Linked DNA regions of Drosophila melanogaster. Changing the gene in region 2 together with the main gene of any one other region gives a genetic interaction. Each region holds a gene or a part of one and is shown on either strand. Other genes may lie near its edges.

What was found.
Region 1: of unc (region 2) and dila, changing one enhances a phenotype caused by changing the other (phenotypic enhancement), as found in Drosophila melanogaster (one study listed by BioGRID).

The regions. Positions count from the first base shown.
Region 1 is NT_033778.4:9,819,327-9,830,876, forward strand, and holds dila (dilatory), read right to left. Parts: upstream 7,881-11,550; 5' UTR 7,800-7,880; coding exon 7,488-7,799; intron 7,435-7,487; coding exon 6,039-7,434; intron 5,981-6,038; coding exon 5,863-5,980; intron 5,801-5,862; coding exon 5,663-5,800; intron 5,600-5,662; coding exon 5,179-5,599; intron 4,978-5,178; coding exon 4,322-4,977; intron 4,266-4,321; coding exon 3,839-4,265; 3' UTR 3,756-3,838; downstream 1-3,755. Other genes in the region: CG34033 (uncharacterized protein), read left to right, coding at 1,243-1,353, 1,412-1,807; CG30001 (uncharacterized protein), read right to left, coding at 1,934-2,053, 2,111-2,361, 2,420-2,564, 2,621-2,772, 2,829-2,957, 3,021-3,115, 3,179-3,288, 3,338-3,430 and 1 more; hebe, read right to left, coding at 9,101-10,471. UniProt on the Drosophila melanogaster protein: Cilium-specific protein with a role in cilium/flagellum formation. May be involved in transport of components into the growing cilium.
Region 2 is NC_004354.4:21,108,016-21,120,973, forward strand, and holds unc (uncoordinated), read right to left. Parts: upstream 8,900-12,958; 5' UTR 8,701-8,899; intron 8,615-8,700; 5' UTR 8,329-8,614; coding exon 8,019-8,328; intron 7,726-8,018; coding exon 7,441-7,725; intron 7,326-7,440; coding exon 5,761-7,325; intron 5,654-5,760; coding exon 5,016-5,653; intron 4,953-5,015; coding exon 4,656-4,952; intron 4,594-4,655; coding exon 3,528-4,593; 3' UTR 3,399-3,527; downstream 1-3,398. Other genes in the region: stg1 (stargazin-like protein), read left to right, coding at 82-222, 292-509, 870-1,255, 1,708-2,336, 2,453-3,108; CG15445 (uncharacterized protein), read left to right, coding at 9,481-9,600, 10,301-10,756, 10,847-11,647, 11,764-12,243.

The DNA.
Region 1 (11,550 bases), on a different chromosome or scaffold from region 2:
CTATAATTATATACGTATCATCGTTTTGGGTGTGGGATGTGCCAGCGAGAACGGCAACTTGTAGTCCATTTGGAGCTACATATAACTGCGCCATAATTGGCTTACGTATCATCCACATCGTCGTCATCACCATCATTGCCATCACCAGAGTCGCGGTAGCGGATAATTAGGTTTTAGCTACTGCGACCCGTATCGGATCGAACACGCCCGGTTGGCCAACCCCACCCGACCGTGGATCCAAATCCCGCGTGGTCACCAGCTGCTCCAACTGTCCGACTCCACCGCTGCTCTGGTGATGATGATGTAACTTGGAAGTGCAGTTGGAGTTGTAGTTGGAGTCGAGTGACTTCCTTCCTCCAGTGCGGTAACCCACTCACTGCACACATACATATATCATTCGTATATCATATGTACATATATATACATACATATGTACACATGCTTAGACCTAAGATTTCTAATTTCCAAACTTTCACATAAACTTCGATTGGCGGCTGGGCTTTTCTTTTTTACCTGAAATCGAGCTGAACATTTTGAAACTGTTGCGGTTTTCTCGGCCGTTGGAGTCGAAGAACTAATTTTCGGGTTTGTAAGTTTGTTTGATCCGGATGGAATTCGAATTTTTGTTCAGATTTATTTGCGTTTGCGGCCAGCGGGCTAGGTATTTTTGGTGGAGCGCGTTTATTTTTAAACGTCCGACTGCGTCGAGAGCACAGAAACGTATAAACTCGTGTGGAGTCGTAGTCACAGTACGTTCAACGTAACGTTCAATGATCTAAATTACGTTTACGTTTCACACAAACTAAAAACTAAGAGAAGAGCGCCACTCGTAAGAAATATAGTCCACAAGTGTCTAAAAATTTACAGTTGGCAATGCCTTTGGTGGATGTAAAGTGGTTGCACTCTTATCGGCTAGGTGGCGCTCTATTTCGAGAGCGATAGTCGGGGTACTACAACCGAACCACTGGTTAGACATATACGGTGCTGCCAACTTTTGTCAAGAAAAAAATCAGTTAGATTTGAAATTTTGCAAAAAAAAAAAATGGGGAATTAATATATAAATTATAATTTAGCAAAAAATTGTGGTACCTGCTTAGGTTAAGGTATATCAAATAATATGGAAAGGTAATTTACCACAAACCCTAATTGTTTGCACCATGGTATAATGGCATTAGTGAGCTATACCAAAACGAGCAACTTTCGAAATCCATCAGTACTGGTGAATACAACAAACCGAAAGAAATGAGTCAAATACTACGCATGCTTTACTGTCTTCCCATTTGGCTGCTGCTGCTTTTGCGTGCTGATGAGGCAAACGGTAAGGGCATATGCCTGTATTTCAGTGAAAAAACAGTGAGTAGACTTAACTTAAGTCATTGAGATTGGAAATTTCAAAATTACAATACCATAGGCTTCTTGGTTTAGTGCCCTGACCATCTGCAAAAGCCTCCACATGTGCTTGGCTGATCTAAACACCGAAGTTACCCTATTCCAGATGAAAAGCAAAATAAACCAAGACGACCACGAGTACTGGTTTGGATTGAATGCACACGATAAGCCCACCTACAGATACGTTTCGAACAACAAGTCCATTGAGTACTCGCCGCACAATTCAAAGCTGGTGAACAACGAAGGATGCGTCTATGTTAAACAGCAAAACGACTTTTTCAAATTTGAATCGGCAAAGTGTCGCGAACACCGGAGATTCATCTGTACTAAAACCGATGAATGCGATGGTGTTAGCATGAAACATGGAAACTCAAAATGCGTCATAACCGCAGAGGAAAGAGATCTTGTAGCCTACTAACTTATAGTTTACTGCAGACAAATAAATGGTTTTTGGGACAGCATGAGCATAATACATTTTAATGAGTTTCAGTGTTCAGTGCGAGTATCCTGAGTATTTTATTTATTGAATAGCACCACCTTGCATCTAGTCTGTGGAAGCCTTTCGCTTTGCCACCGATTTAAGTTGAGCTGCATGAGCCCTGCACTTAGTTTTGTAGGCCTGAACCAGCCGCCCACCAGGTGAAATGGCAATTGACACATGAATCTGAAGGAAATTATTCAATAAGTATAGTTGCATCAAATTATTTCTATTTTTAATTACCTCCAGGTATTGCAACTCTTTTTCGTATGGTAAAGACTCCTCCAAGAGCCTTAGGATTGTCTGAAACTTTTCCGTGCCCAATATGTACGTCATTTCACCAATGTTCTGCTTGTACCACTTCGCATAGTTGTCTAGATTAGCACGAACATCCATGGTTGAGGCACAAGCAGCCCTTGCAGTCAGCAGCAAATGAAGCAAGGATCCCAGGGAAGCCGTGGATGCAGTTTGCAGAAGTCTATTTTTCAGATACTCTGCAAAGGAAAAGATCACTTTTCCTAAAAAGCAATTATACTACAGAAATCAATATACTTTTAATGTATGCGGTGGTTTCAGGATTGGCTGCGCTTGCGATAGTTTGCACAAGTATTAGATAGAACTTCCACTGATTAAAGTTTTCCGTGTTTGACTGTTTGAATAGATATTGAAGGGCTGCCTGCTGATGGCTAGCAAACATCTGCAAGTAGAATTCAATTAGGACAAGATACATAGCTCGTTTTAAGAGAACATAACCTTATCGCAAAGGTGCTTTACAAAGGTTAGTTCGTCGACGCCCTCATTTATCCAGGCGCTAAAGCTGGCGAATGCCTCGTCTACATTCTCCGATCGGTGAAGATCCAACAGGGTACTTAAATGCATGTTCATGCAAACATTTAGCGCTTCATCTGAATGGGTAATAATTTAGTTACTTGCATATCATGCAGTGCAGTAAAAAACAAACCTGGCAGGGTTTTGCACAAGAACTCCACATATGCCAAGCTGCATATCTTGGGATTGCCAACGAGGCCGGAATAGAGATTCCCCAAAGCGCTTGTCAGTATCAAGGTTAGCTTCAACGCAGATTCAGCATCTGACGGTGTATAAATCAGTAGAAATGGGGAAATAGCTAGAATCAAGATCAAGAGAAACCAACCGTAAGCCGCTGAAAAGAAAACATTTGCGAGAAGTTCGAACTCAGATTCCAGGAATATGATCAGGTCCACCTGCAGTTGATCGGAGTCCTCCTTGCTGTGAATTCAGTTACGGATAAATGGGGGTCCGTACATCTAGCAGCTTCTTTATGAAACCCACCTAAAGATGTACTGCGTGGCCGTCAGGATGCGAAGTTCCTGTAGCTGTCGGAGAACTCGAAAACTGCCGACATTCGCTGGCAGTTGGCAGAAGAACTTGGAGGCCAGAAACTGCACAGAATAGGTGTGATTACGAATATCTCTTCTTCAATCTACTCACCTTTTCTGTGCCATTCAGAATCTTCAGTAGCTCGGCAAATTCGTATTTTTCAAGAGCTCCCAATTGTTGAATTCCGCATTGCTTTTCTATAATCTGCGTAAAAGACTGGCAATTAAAATGAACTCATTTAATGTGTAGGATGAATTGCTTACTCTGCATACGAAGCCAAAGCTATTGCCGATATTGGTAAATCCTCTATTTTCCTGCACATATTCCATTATAAAAACCTCCAATTATAAAAACATTCAAAATGAACAAGTATTGTTTTTGTTGACCCGCGTGTAGTGTTACCTCAGCTATTGTGGCTGAAAATACCACACCGCTTTGAGAGGAATCGGTTATTTATAGCACGCTTATCGATTTCATTTACAGCCGTTACAATTATTTAAGTCCATTTACATTTTTCAAAATCATTTTTAAGCCATTCGTCACTCATTTATTAAAAAACCTTCCTAATAATATTTAGCTTGGAGGTCCCATACACCTATTTCGAGTAATTGTCTATTTAACACAATAATCCTTGCGCTGCTGTCGTATGACAGCGTTGAGCTTCAGACACTGCTGCCTGAGGGCATCGTTGTCGCCCTTCAGGATCTCAATGGTCTCCTCCTGCCGCTGAATGGTCTGGTGGACGCGCTTCTGAAGCTGATCCATCTCCTGCTTGTGGCGCTCGTTTAGCACTCCCAGCTCGCTCTGGATGTCCGCGTTAAGGTTGTCGCGCAGTCTGTCCCGCTCCATGATGATGTCGCCGCACATCTTTTTGCTGTGGCTCAGCTCCAACTGCAGCTGTTTCACCTCCGCCTGGCTGTTCCGCACCTGGGCGTCCGCCTCCGCCAGCTTGCCGCGAGTCTCGGCATACTTTTCCCGCAACGACTTCTCGACGCTCTCGGCCAGAACTAAATCCTTCTCGTACTTCTCCTTGAGGCGACTGAAAATATTGGGCTTAGGAGGGGGGCTCATATTATTTGGCCTGCATGTACTCACTTCATCTTTAGCTCGTGCTCCTCTTTGTGCTGCAGTGCGTCGGCCTCCATCCGCACCACCAGTTCGTCTAGCTGACGATCTCTCTCCGCCCGGTAGTGTTGCCTTATGGCGTTCTCCTTCTCCGCCTGGGCCAACTTGGTCTTGTTTTCGTGCTCCGTCTTCCACAGCTCAAAGTCAGCCTGGTACTGCTGCTCGATGGTGTTGACACGGTTCTGATACTTCTCCTCCTGCTTGGCCATGCGCTCCTGCATTTCAAACTTTGCCTGCTCCAGCTCTTGCTCCTGTTCCCGCAAAGCCTCTTGTCTTCGGGCTTGGTGCTCATTCTCCCGCTGCCGTAGTTCTGACTGCAGGCGATCACGCTCTGCGGCAAACTCCTCGGTCAGTTTCTGGCGCTGCTCCGCCTGTGTCCTCTGCTCCTCCTCCAGTTGGCGCTCGAATCGCTCCCGGATGGCAGTGCGCTCCTTCTCGATAATGGCCTCACGATCTTGGGCGCAGCTCTCGCGAATGCTAGTCTCGATCTGCTCGTGCTTCGTGCGTGCCTCTTCCAAGGCGTCCAGCAACTGCATCTGGTGGGTGCGCTTCAGCTCGGTCACCTCGCGTTGGTGGTCGCAGTTCATTTTGTTGATCTCCGCCTCCAGGCCCTTAACAGTAAGTTCCTTTAAAATGAAGTAAATTGGTGATTATTAATATAATGCTATGTAAAAAACTACTAATATTCTGGACCCTATCATAAGTAATAGTTTTGACTAAACTAAGATACTAATTACTGATCCAATGATGGAATATTCCTAAGCCATTCTTTATATGTGCAACTTTAAAGGATAACAAGAATCGAGATCCTTAAAGCTAACCTATACCTTAATTTTCTTGGTGTTCTCGCGCACCCATCGCTCTCGCCGGATCTTTTCGCCCGCCATGGTGGTCTCCTTGGTCCTAGCCAGCTCAGTTTCCAAGCGGTGCTCCCATGCCTGGTTCTGGCTCTCCAAGCGACGCGTGAGGGCCGCCACCTTCTCGCAGAGGGAGCCCTTGTCCTTGAGCAGCTGCTCGATGAATCCCTGGTGGCGGGTAACCACTTCCTCATAGTGCTTCTTCTGATCACGCAGCTTGGCCGCGGCGGTGGATTTTTCGGCCCGCAGGCTCTTCTGCTTTTCGCCACGCAGCTGGAAGACGTGCTCCTTGGACATATGGATGGCATTGGCCAACTCGTTGGCCCGCAAGCTCAGGGCAATGACCCTTCTGGCAAGCTGATGGTTGGGCAGCATCAGCAACTCGGATAGCCTGAATTAAAGGGTAAGGATAGTAAGTGAAGAACTTCAAGGGAATCCATGACTCTTCACCCACTTGGGCACCTCATCGGTGACATCGGGCTCCACCACGAACTCCACCTCCGATCGATTGCTATCCGGTATGGAACGACGTGTTTCCATCAACGTCTTGTCGCAACTACTCTCCACATTGTTCAGGTAGGCCAGGATGTCCCTGTTAGGATACCATAGTATATAACTGGATGGATACCAATGTGGTAATTTGTATTTACTTACTTGTACTTATCTCCACTTTCGGGAACTTTACCTTCACTCACAGTCACTGTGTCGGCCGTCTCACAGCGGGAATCTAGGTTTAGGTTCAGTTCGCTGGGGATTCCCTCGGAGAAGTTGTCTGTCAAGGAAATCAAATATGAGGAACGTTCCCTTCTAGATCCAAACCAGTAACTAACCCCTTTTCTTGTCCTCTTCGATCTCTTTGATGACAGATACTATTTCATCATATGTCGAGTCCCTGGAGTCCTCATTCGACTTTAGGGACAACTGGGAGGCGGTATCATTGTCCTGTGCCTCGTCCAGGTCCTCCAGTCCTGGCTTGTGCTTGCCATCGTATTGCTTCTGGTCCTGCATGCTCATCCAGCTGTCCACCTTGTCGAGATTGTACTCTGAGAGTTTCCGCTCCTCTCGTAGGCTGCCCACACTGATGGCCTTCTTCATCTTACCCAGCGGAGCTGGATTGATTGTGGACTTAGTCACCTTGGATTTGCTGCTCCTGGCAATTGGATCGGCACTGGCGGGCTTTACGTTCTCCTTTTTCTTGCCCACAAACGGTGGTGTCGAGGCCACCTTTAGATAGTTATTAATGACGCCATCGGAGCTGCCATTCGCAAAGGATCTCCTATCATCCTGCACTGCTGGCAAAAAGTTATTCTCTGCCCCGAAGTTTCTTGGGTTGCCAACGGGTCTGTAGACGACGGAACCGTTGTTAACAGCGGAACTATTGGTCGCCATGTTCTTGGTCTCGGACAGATTGTTCTGTTTCTCCTTAGTGGGAGAAGCGTACTTGTCCAGATAGTTGGGTAGTATCTCAATGTTGTTCAGGGTGTCAGTTCCCAAGTGGTTCTTGACCACTTGAACGCCTTCCACAGCCTGTTTATACTCCCTTATAACATCTAGCTCCGATGACGGAGCCTTTGGGAGAGTGGGTGTGGGACTAGTTGGTTCCACTTGCTTGGAGGACTCCATAAACCGGCAGCTTGGAGCATCACAGGCACACTTAACGTCCGATGCCGATGCCTCATTGGTGCTTGTGGTGGAAGAGGATCGCGTGCTGCATGTACAGTTCTCCGAAGGGCACTTTGGATACTCGTAGGTCTCCGCCAGAACTTCTCCCTCGGCTGCAGTGGATCCAAAATGCACGGACTTCTTCTGCCCAACGGGATCGGCTTGTTCCACTTTGCTCAGGAAACTGGGAAGAGTTAGAGGACCCGGAGCGGAGATGCTGGGACGCACTTCCTGCTTGTCATTGTCGCAGTCACTGGAGTCCAAGTCCGCGTGCATATTCGGCTTGCTGAAGGACACCCTTCCCGGAAGATCTGGCTTGGCGGTGCGCTGAAGAAGAGCCCCGTTACTGAGGCCCTGATTTCCAGAGTACGAGGAGTAGGATTTTACCTTCTCACCAACTGGCATGTTGACCAGGAACTGCTCCCCCTCCTCGCTGCTGTCGGGAGTGCGTTTGTGTAGCGAGTAGTCGGACTCGGAGGAGTTGCAGGTGCTGCGGCAGAGCCAACTGCGCTTGATGGGCTCCTCCAGCAGGGATTTCAGCAAGTCGTTCGACGAGACTTGTCTCTAAAAAGGTAATATTACAACACCGATGACCGCAGGGTGTTAAACCCACTCACCTTGCCGCCGTTGCGCAGCTCCTTCTCAACAAAGTAGTTGCTCAACCGACGACCGAACTTGGGGTCCGCCGACTGAGGTCGTCCCAGGAAAGGCGAGGAGCGACTGCGCTGCTGCAGGAAGTTGGCCGAGCGTGGCCGGAAATGGGGACACGGATTGTGGAGCGTCGTCAGCGAACGACTGGTGTACTTGGGCTTCGTTTTCTGTCGTGTGGCGAGGTTTATCTGCGGTTGACCACTCTTAGTACCTAATCCAAAAGGGGGTAGACCATGTCGCTCTGAGCTTACCTGAGAGCCCTTAAGACATAAATCCATAATAGCTTAGAATTAAGCACTCATTTAGATAGTTTTCGAACTGAATGCCCTGCCATAGCCTACTGGTTTTCGAAACGGACTAACTCCAGTTTGTTTTGGCCAACGTGAAAAACCGCCACCACTTTCATATCGATTAAACGCATGTGCTAGCCACGAGGGTCAGGAGCAGGCCAGATGTTGGTCAGCACTGCAACCCCCGGAAAAAACAGGCGGGTCGAAGTTGACATGGTTACCTTAGTGGTGAACCACCTGAGCTACCTGAACCACCTGACCCACCCTCGATCGCCGGAACAGGTGTCGCGTCCTCTGCATGATTCACCACTCCGTTCCCAATCCACACCTCTCCACTCCACTTCATCCGACTCCACTCGTTTATTATTTTATTATTATTCGTGTCTCCCAATCAATCACCGACTATGGCACACGGGCAAACCAGCGGAATCAAAACAATTAATCACGGAGAACAACTGATTGCGACTGGAGCATATCGATGCGAAGGTCACCGCACGGGGTTCAATGCTAGACATCGGCAAACACTTTCGGTTTTCATTCACCACGTCTAGAAACTCACTGACTGAGCTCGTGGTCTTAGCATTTTCGGGGGTGCTATCTGTGCCGACTTATGGGAGCATTACTCTGACTAATTGTAAACATATCTTAGATTCCAGCAAAGAACATAGTAATTCCCCATGAATCAAAGGCTGACTTCGGCGGGCAAAGCCCTGGAGATCTAGAGATCTAGATTTCCATATAGCGATACGCAACTCAATGCGCCATTTAAGACACTTCGAGTTCTAAGACAACATTCCCCCATGGGACAATTCGTTCGCCTGGGGCAAACAAATATAGTGTTATCTTTGTGGAACAAGTTAAGGTACTCTACGTGACAGTAAATACACACACTTGTGGTGGAGCACCCTTATCGAAGACCATCCAGTGACCGCGAGAGGAATATTCCAGCCGAAAGACGCGCGGTTTCAATATTAATTAATAATTTATTTAAATAAAGCAAATGGTGTCTATTGCAATACACGTAGTTTGGTCTAGCTAGTCCCGAAATGACGCTTTGGGGACCGGGCCTCCATGGGTGGCTCTATGGGGGATTAGGCTCTCCAGCTCCAGCTCCAACTCCGACTCCGACTCCATTCTCGATACTGACTGATGCGCGAAGCATAAAATTAAATTTGGCAACATTTCTCGTAATCAACTTAGCAGCTAACACAAAATACAACACAATATAGTTGATGGTTTCTTGTTTAACAAACAAATTGCACTACTTCTCATCTTGATCCGCCGATCTTCTATTCCGCCCGCAGTACGGGCGTCACCTGGACCTCGTTCTGATCATCGCTCTGGATGTCGAACTTCAGCTTGGTCAGCTCCTTGAGCTCGCCATTCGATTCGGCGGGCACCTCGCTGACCACCTTCACGGTATCCGGATACTTGTTCTCCCCGCTGCCCAATTCCTGCGAGAAGCTGACCACGGTCTTGGGTTCGTAGTTCACTCCCAGGGCGCCACTGGGATCCGGAGTGGGTATGCTGGGTCCATCGCTACTCTGTCCGTTGGTGTGCGAAATGGTAATGGCATCCGCCTCCTCCTTATGACCATTGGTGGCAGGAGCAGCCTCCTCTTCCTTAAGGCCATTGGTGGCAGGAACAGCCTTCTCCTCCTCCTTCTGGCCATTTTGCACGGGAGCAGCTGGCTCCACCACCTCCACCTTGGCTTCCACGGCTGCGGGAGCTTGAGTGGGCTCCTCTACCACGGCCTCCGCCTTTCGTTCGGCTGCCACTGGCTCTGGAGTAGGTTCTGGAACTGGCTCAGGGGTGGCTTCCACCTCCGCCTCATCCTCTCCTGCCACTGCCTGGTTAACTTGCTCAATGGCCTTGGCCACTTCTTCGGGTCCTACGTCAGAGTTCTTTGGCTCCTCACTGTGTCCATTGCTTACAGGGTCCTCTGGTTCGGGTTTAGTGATCAGGGCAGAGGTGGTTACAGCGGCCACCTGAGGCTGTACCTCCACCTTCTCCTCCTCCTCCACCTTCTCGGCCACGGGAGCGGGAATCTCGAGGGCGGGCACAATGGCCGGACTGGCCATGGTCTCCACGAACGAGGTGCGATTGGGCGAGTCCGGCGAGATCATAACGTGCGTGAAGTAGCCGCTGCGCCGGCTCTCAAAGTCCAGCACGTTCTCCTTGGCCAGACGCTCCTGGATGAGTCGCTGGCGCCTGATGAACTCCGGCACGTTCTCGTCCTCGCCCTCGGCGGGTGGGGGTGAGTCCGCCACCTTGGGTCGTCGCAGCACGACCTTGGCCACCTCGTTCTCCGACTCCGCGGTGCCATTGCCATTGGTGCTTCCATTGGTTGCCCAAGTGGCCGCGGCATTCGATGGCTTGAAGACCCCATTGAACTTGGTGCCCACTATGAACTTCTGGCTGTTGGCCACGCTGCTGTTGGCGCTCTTGTAGGCGTTGTAGTTGTTGTTGGCGCTGGGCTGGGCGGACAGTGGGTTTCCGTTTCCGTTCTCGTCGATCTTCGGCGACTTGGCGATGGTGAAGTTGGGCTTGCCGTGGCTGATCAGCAGCTTGGTGGCCGGCGAGGGACTCTTGTCCGGCAGAGGCGAGGGCAGTCCGCTGCGGATCTGTATGCTCGGCTTGTTGTTGATTGTCTCGGCCATGTCTGTCTGCCTTTGAATCTGGTCGTGATCGGGGCTTTTACTTTCCGTTTCCGTCGTTCGCTCTAACGGTGAAAGAGAAGAAGACAAAGCCAATTAATAAAACATTTGGGAGAGCAGAAATTAAATCATTCGCATTCAATCATGCAAATTCACAGGCATAATCATTCGAGGTGAAAGAGAAGAGGGCTTCGAGTAAAAACGAAAAGCGAATGGACCTCCGGCTAATTGCAGCAATTTTGTTTGATTAGCTGAAACTGACTTGAGGTTAGTAGCGGAATAATATCTTATCGCAGACCCTTAACGATTTACTGCTAAAAACTTGAACTATATGTGCACTATAAGCATTTTTTGTGAATGATTGATTAGGTTCCACTGAAAGAAAAGAGATGATTCATGGATCAGGACAATTATTTAAAATGTGATAGTGCATCCGGCGAACACTTTGTAATTCACTTCAGGCTTTCCTCAGAAACTTATCAATAAACTGGGAAAAAAAAACCTTTATACTGTTGTAAATACTTTTCATTTCTACCATCCCAATCGCTTGCCAATCTAGTTAATAATAAAGCGAAGCGCTTCGTTCTGCCAACTCACTTTCGCAAGCAAACAGTTTGCAATCGTTTCACACGGCGTATGCGTAATTACGCAATACCAGTCATTGGCAGTGGCACTGGCAGTGAGCATTCCAGGGTCAGCCAGTGTCTATGGGTCTATTGTAAGGCCCCCAAAACAAATACCGGCTGATTGCTGATAGAGCTAAACTTGCTTAAATATCAATTAGATCGATGGCACACTCAAATACCCGGGGTTTGTCCAAGTAAAATGGACTGGCGCTCGCCTGCAAACCTAATTGTCCGCCGGATCAGATCGATCAAGCCCATGTGACACTGGTGTCCATGCCAAAACCCATCAGTTGACCAAAGCACGTACACAGTGCGATCGCAACTGATAGGAATACATAGACCACTTTCATTGCCAACCCATTTCCATTTGCATTTTCCGTCGCTCTTCGACGGGCTAATTGAATTAAGAGCTGCACTTTATGGACCTGCATGCCACTCGTAAATTCCAGACGCATT
Region 2 (12,958 bases):
GTATACAGAAACAGGTCTTAAATTCGTTTAAAATGGGTTTATTTAAAATATATTCTAACGTAAGAAAATTTTTACTTACAGATACGGTCACCAAGTCGTGTCCTATTTTCCTGGCTGCTGGTGTATTTCTAGTGATCAGCTTCATAGTTTTTCTAATCCCCACTTGCTCGCATCAAAACAATCTGTATTATTTTAGCGCGGGAATTCTTTTCATTGTTAGTGGTGAGTTTTGAAAAATTTGAAAGGGTCTAAGCATAATAATGACACCGAAATTGCGTAATCATCCTGTAGGTCTAGTGATGCTGATTGGATTGATTGCCTATATATCAATACTGAAGGCGGAAATCGGATCGAAGTTAAGACCCCGGTCCACCCTTCAGCCAGCCCTCATCAAGGTCTCCTATGGCCAGAGCTTCTTCCTCTTCGTCTTTGGATTCATTGTCACGGAATTCGTTGGGGTCTTGAATATATTCCTCTTCATCAATTTGCAGGAGGTTAGCTACTACAGTGTGAGTAACTGAGCTAGTCTTAAACAATTCATAACGCTTGGATATATTGCCATTATTATTTTAACTTCATTTTATATTATGACTTTTGTTGTTAAAAGCAATTGTTGAACAACTTTTCGATGGCATTACTTTAAAGTTGCATCTGTGACAGTCGTCGCATTTGTGTTGGTGGTGCACCCGGTGGTACAATCCCCTTAGGAATAGCCCACCTCGTGATTCGTAATTCTCGCGCTTGACTGCAGAAACGTACCAACTTAAATGCAAGCGTCGCCGGATGCGTCCTTCGGGATTAGCTGCATCTTCTGCTGCGCTCTCTGTGTTCTTCACATACTTTATTTCCATACGTACATTTCCCTCCAGCGCTTGCCCTGTTTTAGTGTGGCAAACATCCACGCCAAGTTAAAGGAGGGCCAGCATCCGTTGAGTGATTCCTACAAGCGGTACAAGCAGCCCGGCATCACCACAGCCAGCCAGGAAGGACTTAGTAGCGCGGGTCAAGGTCAACAGGGTCACCAGAGTCACCACCCGACGCACCAACCGCATCCGACGGCGCAGCCACCACATGGAATCCTGAGGAGTGGCAATTCCCGACTCCATCAGGTCTACGATGCGGGACGAGGACACCCTGGAATGACCGGACAGATTGGCCATTCCGGACAGACGCAAACACTACCAGGAGCATGTCGCAAGCATCCGAATGCCGGATCGAACTTAAATCTCTATCTGCATAATGACCTGGAGAGGCGGTAAGCAATTAGGTGTTTAGCGAATTTTAATTTGGACAATTACTGTTAAGTTATGATGAAAATAAGAGATAACTCGATAGTCGGTTGCCTCGACTACCAGATACCCGTTACTTAGCTAAAATGAATTCAAAAGCTACTATTTTTTTGATTGCACATGAATGCCACATGGTGTCGATGTTCGTCCATGTGTCCATCCGTCTGTCCGTCAGTATGAAAGAGCCGCCTTCTATGTACATGCTAAATCATTCGATTTATGCTTGCTACAAAAAATCGCTTTTTTGCTTTGACTATCTTCCTCTCTTCGACTAGGTATTTAATAGGTACCATAAGATAGATAGACAAGAAGAGACGTTCTTTTCTTTTTTAATGTATAATAAATACATATGTATATGTATGTATGTATATTGATGAATGCCATTCATAAGCTATTGTATTTAACCTTTTCGTTTTAGTTTTTACTTCGAAAAGCCAGCTGTGTCCAAGTGTAATCTGCACTCGCGCAGCTTCGCCAAGTCGTTGAATGAGCTTTGCACGGATACGTCCGTGTCCTCCACCCATGTTCCCGCACCCCTTCTCCCTTCCGCTGCCGACCCATTACCTGCCCCCGCCCTGTTCGCCGACTTGCCTCAGGAATTTCCACTCACCCGATCCGTATCTACGGCCACGGAAATATATCCAGCTTCATCTTCGGCTCCAGCTCCGCCCTCCGCTCAAATGAAACGAAAGCAGCAGCGGAACATGGCCACTAATACGAACACGAAGATCTCCAACAATCCCCCATCCTCCAACTCGCAGATGGCAGATCAGTCGCGTCTTTGTGGCCTGAAGCGTGGCCTCCGGAAGACCAAGGATGAGCTATTCCAGGAGTTCTGTCGGCGAGCTGGTATGCGCAGCAAGCCAAAGAACATCTACTACATCAGTGGCGGGGATGAGGCGGAGGAGGAGGAGCAGGAGGATCAGGCCAAGCGGGAGGAAGTTCCGGATGATCCGCATCGCGATGACGACGATGACGCGGATGGCGATGACCACGGTTTCAGGCAGTTCAACCGCATGGAGGAGGAACATCTCTATGTGGTGGGAGGTGAGGTTTTATTCTGGGCAGTTTTTGATTGTTACAATAGATTGTTTTCATTCGAGTATCATTTCATTACGATTATTAAAACTTCTGTTTAATAGAAAAGTATACTTTCTTTCCAGACCATGCCCAATTGGTGGTGCCGCGTCGCACGTCCATGTGCGTGGACTCCATGGGACAGCCGCTGCGCAGACTGAACTCGAATCTGTCCCTGCACACGGATCTCAGCTTCCCCGGAACGGGTGGCTATCCGGGCATGCGAATGTCCCTGCCACAGCCGGCTGATCTCGGCCAGAGTCGCACCTTGCCGCGCTGCTTTCTGCGACAGTCGTCCGATTCGCTGGCTTCCCAGGGCTATCCATTGGGCTCCAGTCAGCAGCGTTTCTCCCAGCTGATGCTGAATCAGCAGCAGAATCGCTTCGTGTCCTCCACGTTGACACTGCCCCAGGTGGTGGCGCCCAAGAGTCAAGTGCAGTGGCCCACGGCGATTCCCTCCTCGCCGTCGAACTACTCGAATGGCTATCAACAGCATCCGCAGCCCATTTACCCAGCTCCAACATCCGGAAGTGGAGCACCTGGGACAACGGCTTCGGTCTCCGGACCACCGAAATTCCAGCGCGGCTACGCATTCGACGATCAACAGCGTAGGTCCAGTTTTGTGAGCGATGCATTCGACCTGGACGAGATCGAGCGGGAGCGACGGCGATCCCATGCCAGTCTATTTGGAATGGGTCAGGTGAGGGATCCCTACGATCTCATCAATGGCACCGCCGTCTAAGATACCCGCAACCACATACTCGTAATCAATAATGCCAAAGAAACGAAGAGCTAGCATTTTTTTTCGGAAGTAAGGTGACAAAAGAATAAGTATATGTCTATTGCAAAAATAAACTATTTAATGATTATATACAATATATATAATAGATGGTCCCAGCAGGTCTTAAAAAATTGATAAACTAAGCGCACAATCAGGCCCACAAAATCTATCAAAAGTATACATACACAAGTGAAAAAAGAGTAGTAAAATTCGAAATAGGTCTTTAAAAATTAATAAATGCGCACAATTTTGGCCAAAAAACAATGAGTTTTATTAATTGTATTATTACTATTTTGTTGCTCTATAAAGAGAGTTTTGGAACCTAAATAGATATATACTTAATCAGTTTGAACATATTAAGCACCTATTCTAGATTTTTTTTACAGGTTTATGCGTTTCCAGAACGCCTGGCTGTACGAAACCTCCGTGCTAGATTCCGCATTCCGCCGCCGGGCTCCATCCGCCACGGCGCTCATGACCAAATCCTCGAAAGCTTCGCCCGACGATCTCCCGGGCAAAGTGCTTTGCGAAGAACTGGAAGTGGAGACATCCAAATGATGAACAGCTGGTTCATTTTCGTTGATTGTGTGAAGAGTGGGAGCCGTGTGGGGGCGTTTCGGGAGCACCAAATGTGCACACAACCCCGGTTCCGATGCTGCGGTGGGTGCACTCACAGGTCTTCCTGTTTTGGCGGGCATTGTAGGTTTTACGGCCTCTGCGCCGCCAAAGAGCATCTGCATCCTGGCCATGGATTGCTGGAACTTTGTACTGGGCGATCTGCCGGCACCCATGGAGGGCAGCTCCATACTGGAACTGCTGCTGCTGCTATCCAGAAGTGGGTTTGGTGTTCTCAGGCCGAGGGCATCTTTGGCCCGTTGGAGGAGCACGTTCATCTCACCATTGCTGCTGCTTCGCGTTACAGCGGGCTTAACATTGGTCAGATGGCGATCCTGTTTCGGAGATGCCTCAGGAATCTGAAATGGCAAATCTGCTAGCCAATTCTTCTTAACGTTTTGCTTCTCCTTCTTCTCCTCCTTTCTGACTGGCATTATCTTGTCCAGCACCTTGTTCCTAGCTTCGGTGATGGCATTCGTAAAGGGATAGCTGTCCTGTTCGTGACCCTCCTCCAGTTCCGATAGCCACAGCGGTGACGACCCCTTTGAGTCCAAGATGGGATCGGGTATAAGTCGCTGGTTGCGCAGCTCCTCCAGTTGAGCCACACTAGCTGCGTCCTCCTTGCGAACGCGTCGATGCCAATCCCGGAAACCGTCCATAGTGCGATGCACCTGCTCTCGTTCCCGCAGGCAGCTGGAGCGGATTCTCCGGGCCCTTGCGGCATCCTCCGATGACTTGTGGGGGGATGTCTTCGACTTGGTTTTCTCCAGGTAGCTGAGGAAACTTTGTTCCAATAGGTCGCTCTCCTGTTCCAACTGCAGCATTCGGCTTCTAATGAAAGTTACATTATTTTAGGAATGCTATACGTAAGTACATGAAATTCACAAACTTACTTGGCACTTAGTAGAGCCTCCTCAAAGCTCGGACCTTCTGAAACTTTGCTATTTACCGGTTTGAGAGGCGTCGCCTTTGGAGGCACTGGAGTTATCGTGTTGGTGGCCACCGAGTGCATTGACGGTTTCAAAGGAATAGAAGATTGGGAAGGTCCTGGTTGAGGTACCGTTTCATCGGGCGGCGGAAGTGCCGGTGATGCAGTGGAGGGCAAAACACTCTGTACACTTGGTGAAGGGCCCCGAGGAGCAGGAACAGGTAAAGGAACAGGAAACTGTTGTCCTTGAGTAGCAGGAGCTCTAGAAACAACCCACATATATGACTTAACACGGAGTAAACGATTTGTAAATTTAAAAACTCACTGGTTTCTATTTTCAGTTGGATGCAGATCCCCAGATACGGGGCCTCCTTGGAATGTGAAAGCATTGGTTTCGCCGGCTGCGCGATGAGCACTGTCATTGTCTGCAGGAACGCTACTCGGAGAAAGCAGTCGTCTTGACGTTTTCATAGGATCACTGTAGATCCTTGCAACTGGGACCAGAGGAACAGGGTGTTCAGAAGCCCCAAGCAAGTGGGCAGGAAGGTGAGTCACTGGCACGAAGGTGCCTGCAACTGGAACTCCACCTGGCGGAGCTAATGCCAACAATTGATAGGGATATCCCAGGTCAGGATACGTGTGCTGTTCCACATGGGTCTTACCAACATTCAGCGCACCATCAGCGGCAGGCTGAGCCGGAGGCGGAGTGCAGATCCCACTGGAAATGAGCGTGGTAGACATCGCCGTGTTCCAGTTGACAGAAGCGGAGCCCACAGCAGCTCCATCCGCCCACATGGGCATGATGCGAGCCGCCTGCTCCGCTGCAAGCTCCGTCTGTTGGATCTTCTCCGCCAGCTGCTGATGGTGTGCCTCGTAGTGCTCCAGCAGCCGGAAGATCTGCTGCACGAGGTCGCGCGCCTCCGCTGACGATTGCGAGTCCCGCTCCACACGCTTGCACAGGGTCTGGAATTCGAATACAAAGTTAGTAATCAAAGGTTTAAAGTTAATACGATTGCAGAATAAATATAATGGCTGCAGCTTATTGTTGTTTTAATTCTCGAGAGACTTACCCGCCAGGAGTTCTGCCGCTTGCTTAGACGAAGCATCTCGGCCTGGTGTCGCAACTTCACCTGGAAGAGTTCATTTAGCCGCACCTTTTGCAGCTCCAGCGCCTTGTTCAAGGAGAGCTCCACCCGTTCGAGGAACACTTGGCCACTGGAGCTGTGCAGCATCTCGTGGATCCACTGTTCGTAGGACTTTTGGAAGGTTGGCGGCTCGCAACTAGCCTGATTCCCAGCGTCCTTTAGCTGCTTTTGCTCCGTTTGGGTGATGACACTTTCATTGTGAGCTGACTTTCTCGATGTTTGGGTGGCTATACTCGCCGTGGGTATCGTGCTCTCCGTTTGCACGGAGCTTTCCCGCTTCTCGGGCAGTGGCCTTTCCTTTTGCCACTTCTTCTGTTCCAACTGCTCCAGTTTCTGACCCTCCTGCAGGCCCATGAAGTGGCCGTGGGCAAAACCCTCGCGGTAGCCCCATTTGAAGCCCTTGTGCATGCCCACAGAGTGCTCCTGCTCCATGGAGAGATTGAGAACGTTGCTAAGTAGTTGGACACAGCCGCACACATCCCCCATCAGGGTCTCCATTCGCTCCATGGAGACGTACATCCGGCCCTGCGGCTGCCGGCTCTTTTTCTGCACCTTTTCGAGGGACTGGCGGATCACGGCCAGGCTGGCCAGTTGTTCACTGTGGAGACGGGGCAGCTGAGGAATGGTCACATCCAGGGCTGGCACTTGAATGGGTCCCAGGTTGGAGTGAACCACATCTTTCTGGTTCCTGCCACTGGTTACCTCATGCTCCTCTTCCTTGTCCCCGGTGGCAATTTTGATCACCGGTTCGCCCGGGTTAAATGCTTGACCAGCTTTCAAAAGTCGCTCCCTTTCGCGCAGCTCCTTCATTAGGAGATCCTCGAATTTTGTCGATGATATCACCTCAACGGGCGGAGCACACGACTTGGCCAAATGGCGGAGATTCTTAATCAGCTGATTAAGCTGCTGCTCCACGGAATGCAGAGATTGCGAGACACGACCGCCCACAAAGACACTTCGGCCATCTGCGCCCAGAATCAGCTCGTGCTCCTCCGTCTGATACAGACCAGTGGTGTCCACCTCGGGACGAGCTTCCACGCAGGCAGAGGGCTCCGTTTGACAGCCGGTGTCTTGCAGAGAGACAGGGACCGGTTGTTCCACCTCCTGCTTAGGCACGGACCTCCTGATCTCCACCAGCGTTCGCATAAGAGCCATCAGCAAGCACTGCGTTTGTCCAGCCAGATCCTCCTCGTAGTGGGCCTCCGCCAGCTTTCCAAATTCCGAATCCGCTAGAGCTTCTTTTTCTCCCAGTATGGCGGCCACGACCTTCTGCAGTTCCTCCGTCTGGAATCGGAACTCCGGCCGACTCCGGAAGTCCGGCAGGTTGCTGCGATGCGGCGTCTCGCTGCAGAAGACCGACAGTGTGAAGTGGCAGTTCTGGGAGTGCAGAAACTCCGCCACCAGAGTGTGCAGCACCATCGCCAGTGGCGAGACGAGCAGTGCGTGGGACTGAGCCATCTGCACACCAGCAGCCTTGCTCAAGAGCTGGCCTGGAACGGGTACATTTATGGTTAGATCGATTAATAAATTAAAAAGGGGGTTTTCAATAAACTTTGAGATGCCAAATAGTAAAATATCTTTCATTAGTTTGATTAGCAAACCCACCGAGTGCCGTATTATTGAAGCAGTGAATGAGCTCCACCCGCAGGTGAGAGTGCATCTCCCGGGCAATCCCCTCCTGGTCCAGCCACTGGCGGAACTTCACCTCGAACTCCTGCTCCGACATCGCGGCCAGTTCCTCGAGCTGTTGCCTCAGCCGTTCCGCCCTGGCATCGGAGTCATCCTGCTCCTCAATCTGATCCTGAGGAATAGGTACGTGCTTTCTGGTAGGCCTTCCTGTGCGGTATCCGTGTGCTCCAACCTCCGGGGGCAATGATGATCCCCGCGTTACTGAACACAAAATGGGATTATCAGTGAATATGAATCGCTATTAAGTTCGTAAAGGTTTATTGTACTGAATATTTTAATTTGAAAAGATTATTTTTCGAACAAATTTGTGTACGTCGGAGTATAAAGATTGCTGGTTTCTTAGAGTTATAATAATAATAATAAAAATAGTTATAATAATAATATTAATAATAAAAATAATTATTATAATAATAATAATAATAGTTATAATAATAATAATACTTATAATAATAATAATAAAAATATTAATATTATTATAAAAATAATAGGCCCACCTCTAGTTATATTTGATGGTCCGCACGGTCCTGGTCTGCCCAGTCCGGTTGCTTGGAGTCGCTCCCTGGACTGCGTCATTCTCCGCCTGGCGGGATCGCCGTCGGTGCTGATCCTTCGATTATGCTGGCGCACCCGCTGTGTCGCCGACGCCGCTGTGGCCCGCTCCTGCTTAATCTGCTCCTCCCGCTCCCGCTTTGCGGCCTCGTGCTTCCGCTCCCGCTCGCAAGGCATGCCGATGCCGCCCACATCCCGCTGCTTCGCCCTGAACGATAACGTTGTCGTGCTCGCCGGCACGTGGCGAACCTTCATGCCGTCCTGAAGGAACTCGAGGCTCGGATGGGATCGAGAGTTGGTCTGCGTATGCTCGGATAGAACCTCTGACCGCCGCTTACATGCGCCGCGTTTGAGTAACTGAACTTTCCAGGTAAAACGAGCACGAGCGCAAGACACTCACCACCAACAGCGAAATGTGACAGGTGCGACGGAGCCTGCCCTGCCACCTGGGAACTGAGTGAAATTGGGGAGGAGGTCAACTCGATCGTCGGGGGTTGGTCCTCCTAAAGGCGTCAGCTGTGTTGCCTATGTGAAGCGTGCTCTAAAAATTAAGTGAAATATATGACAACTGAGTTCTATGAAATGGTATTCTAAGCAAAAGCTTATTTATCATAAGTAATTGCTCACTAATACTTATAACGGCGGCAGTATTTACTGCCGAGCCCATATTAAAACAGCAATACTTCTTGTGGAAGCGTGTATTTGGTGTATTTTTCACAATAATAATATTTTGAATTTTAATTCAAAACAGTTCCGCTTTAAAGTTGGCAGTTGACTATCGATAGATAATTGTCCGCAAAACAGCTGATTGCTAAGTAGTAAGTGCATCAGCCGTACTGACGGTGAAACTGAAATATGAGTTTCTTGCGTTAAATGGTATAGAAATAATATAATATAAATCAACAAGCACAGCTGTGTTTGCCAATGCGTTTTTATAAAAAACCAAATTTGAAGACTTTGACTATTAACGGGCAGAACGTTCATGTCAGTCAGCTTTTGCAAGCGTTTCGCTGTGGCTGACAGATGGCCGAGTGCTGCAAGAGCCGATAGCTATCGAGTTGCAGTTGTTGTGTCAAACGACAAAAAAGACCCAATTGCGGTGATTCCACCAGGCAGAGCTTATCCCATACGAAGACGCAGCACAGTTCACATTAAATAAATTTCCGTAAATAGTTCTTATTTGTCACCCGCCCAAAATTAAAGTCTACTCCACTGCACCCAACCCCGCGATTATCAACGACTGCGCATCGTTCTTTGTTGTTTCGTGTAGAAACACATGTGCAAGGAAGAAGAAGAACCAGAACATCACATCACTCGTAAATAGTAAATATCTAGAGCATGCCCGATCCTTTGTGACGCGTCAGTTTCAGCCAGTTCGCCACAATTTTTGCCAAGTCATCGTCGAAAATGTCACAAAACGACAACCTACTCATCCAGATCCGCGCCCTTCTCCAGTCCGATGGCGAGAAGCTGTGGGAGGAGCCCTACTACTCCGAAGATCTTGGTAGCATCGAGGGAGCACTAGAAGTACGTACTATATGCCCACCACCCCACACCTAAATGCCTTCCAGTCAGTGGTCGGGGAAATGACAAGAATGCCTGAAATACGGTTGGCAATATAGAAATATTATATTCAAAATGCATATATTATATATATATATATATATATATATTATATATTTATTTGTTAGTTCTTTTCACATTTGAAGAAGTAAGAAGCTAGTTTCGACAAGCCGTAACTTATATACACCTTCAGCTAAGTTCATATTATTAACACTTATTTTAGTTTGATTAGTTTGATCATATGATATTATTGTCCAATTAAAAATACTTAAAAAAAAAACAACATGACATTGCACAAACGAATCTTTTAAATTCCTATTATACTTTAATAATTCTGAATTACAAGAGTAACGACAAAGATATTATTTAGTTTCCTTATATAGGTTTTTGATCTGTTTCGCTTCGACTTATTTATAACGCCTAGAATAAAAATAAGATTTTAAACCGATAGATTTGTTGGCGTGTGAAAATGTGATTGCTTTCTTGAATTATTATTTATTTTTCAATAAATAGAGGTTGAGGGATTTTAAAAATAAAGTAAGACCAATAGTAGTCAAAAGAATAGCACATTACCAGCATTCATACTCAGGAACTCAGTAGCTTTGGATTAATATAATATATAATATTTTATTCTATAATAAGATGTGTATCCATTTCATTAAAGAACCTGGCGCAGAAGTACTCCGGCATGTTGGGCATCGATATAGGTCGCTGCAAGTTCTTTTTGACCGAGCTGCAGGAAAATGCTCTCCGTACGCTGGCCGCCCGACGTGAGTTCAGCACCACAGGAATTGCCACGTTGAAGGTTCGCCGCGTTGGCGAGCACAGCGGTGCCACAATGGTGGAAGTGAAGTGCAGCTTGGACATCGTGGGCTCCGAACTCCAGGCATGCATAGCGAAGAAACTGGAAGTGCCGAATGCTGCGCACGTCAAGTGCATCGCTGCCGGCAAAGTGGTGTCCGCCAATGCCACTTTGGCCGACCAGCAGTTGAAGAACAACCAGCAGTTGATTGTCATTGTGGGCGATGGGGATAATTCTGGCGAAGCCCTGTACGAAAGGATCAATCGCATCAAGGCCGATGTGGAGGCGGTGGTGTCCTCGAAGAATAACCTAATAGAGGTGAGTAAATCGGAAGGAAAGTTGCTTAGGTTGTTGTTTAGAAGGTTTTTTAAATCACACCACTTGTTTGTATTTTCGTGTCATGCCCAGATGGAGGATCAGAATGGCAGCCAAGTGTATTTGCCGCCTTCCGAGCATAAAGCCCTGCTCATGGGTTTGGGATTCTGTGAGAAGGCCCGTGCGGCCATGAATCGCAAGCATTTTGAGGAGGCTCTGCTCCTGCTTTTGGAGGCCGACGAGCATTTTTCTACCTGTGGCTCAAAGTTTCTAGAGTCCGTGGATAACTATGCTTTGCTGAACCTCGACATAGTGTGGTGCTATTTTTGCCTGAAGAACGTTACCCAGCTCCCGGATGCTGAGCATCGCTTGGCCCGCTGCAGTCGCAATTTCGGCATCAGCTATGGCGACAATTTGGAGAGGCTGTACTCCTTGAAGGGCAAGGACTGTCCCGAGAGGGCTTTAATTATGCGGCTTAAGTTGCTCCAGGGCGTGATCTTCTTCCACCAGAATCTTCGCAATCAGGCATTTGAGTGCTTCGAAGCGGCTAAAACTCTGCTAAATGAACTAAAGATCAACAACGACCAACTGGCTCTCCTGGTCGATATGGGCTTCGAGCCCTCCGAGGCTCGTATGGCCCTGCGCTCCTGCAAGGGCGGCACCGCCGTCGAACAGGCTGTTCAGTTTATTCACGAGCGTCGTCAGCAGCTCAAGAATGCACGCATGAAATATAAAGCGTCCGAGCGTGCTATGGAGCGCCGCCTGAAGCGCTCCAATTCCAAAGATTGCACCTGGGTGAATCCCCGCAGTGTCTGCAGCCTTGCTGACATGGGATTCGAGAGCGGACTGGCCACTATCGCCTTGCAGCGCTCTAATAATGATATCCTCCAAGCGGTAAGTGTGGCCAAGAATATATTCAATGACATGAATTGATCAGTATGTTTTAACTATAATCTCATGGATGTCACGTGTTTGTAAACTATAAAATAATAGAAATATTTTTTTCTTAGGTGGAACTGCTGCAGACAGAATCGGACGAACTTACTGGTGCTTCGCCATGGTTTCCGGTCACCGTAGACACGACCAAACTGGCTCAGCTTCTGCAACTGGGATTCAACGAGAACGACTCGCGCGTGGCCCTACAGAATGCATCAAATAACATGGAAGAGGCCATCGAGAGTCTGATGTGCGCCATAGAGAGCGAGGAGGAGCTGAAAGCGATTTTAAAGCACGTTGGGCGTTTGGCCGAAAATGGTGGGCAAAATCTTGACGGCCCCTCTACTTCGAACGCCTCCGGGCAGACGCAAGTTGCTTTGCCAGCGCCCATTATCGAAGCTGTTATCAATCATGCTCGCGTCGAGATTGAAACGTACAAGGCCTACGAGCGCTTTAACTCCGACCTCAAACTGAGCGACCTGGAATACCTGGACTTGCCACTTATCCAGGAGGAGAAGATCCTGACTGAGTATTTCAATATGCTGCAGCAGTAGCTTGTATTTGACTTGCCTTTTTTATATCTATACAAAAAAATATAGAAACCCGAAACCGGTTGTCAAGATAACTGTAATCATGACTTGTCTATATTGCAAATCGTAGTCTTATAATGGCACTTAAGTGGCATTCAGCTCCCCTCCCGGCTGCTGTTTGTCCAACTAGGCAAATAGTAAAATATAGAGATTTATAAGTACATGCCTTCTATTGACAACTGCAAAATGTGATTGCGCCGAGCCAGCGGGAGAATTCACCTTTTGGAGCCACCTGAAACTTGTTAGCGCCTCTGGTCATTGCTTATTTTTTTTTTATCGTTTGTTTTTTTTTTTGTCGCTTGACTCTCGACCCCGGCTCGGACGGCGGCGCTTGATTGGGTTCAGTCGTGACCTTGTCGAGGCCAAAGGGCGCCGCTCACTAAGCTCATCCCGTCGACGAATTGAGCGGAACTTACACGATTTGCTGTAAGTATTTGCTTTGCTTAGCAAAGAATTTATTTATTTATTCAAGTAGCACCAAGACTAAATATTATAAGTCAACTAATTGGTTTTCTATATGTATGTACATACATATGTGTAAAATAGTAATTTTCTATTTATACACGTTACTCGCAGAGTGAATAGTATGTAAAATGTTGTCTTGTACAAATTGGCACGGTGCCATAGGATTAAAGTATCCTGCGGCAAATGTGTTGCAAACATGTGTTTTTACATCCTT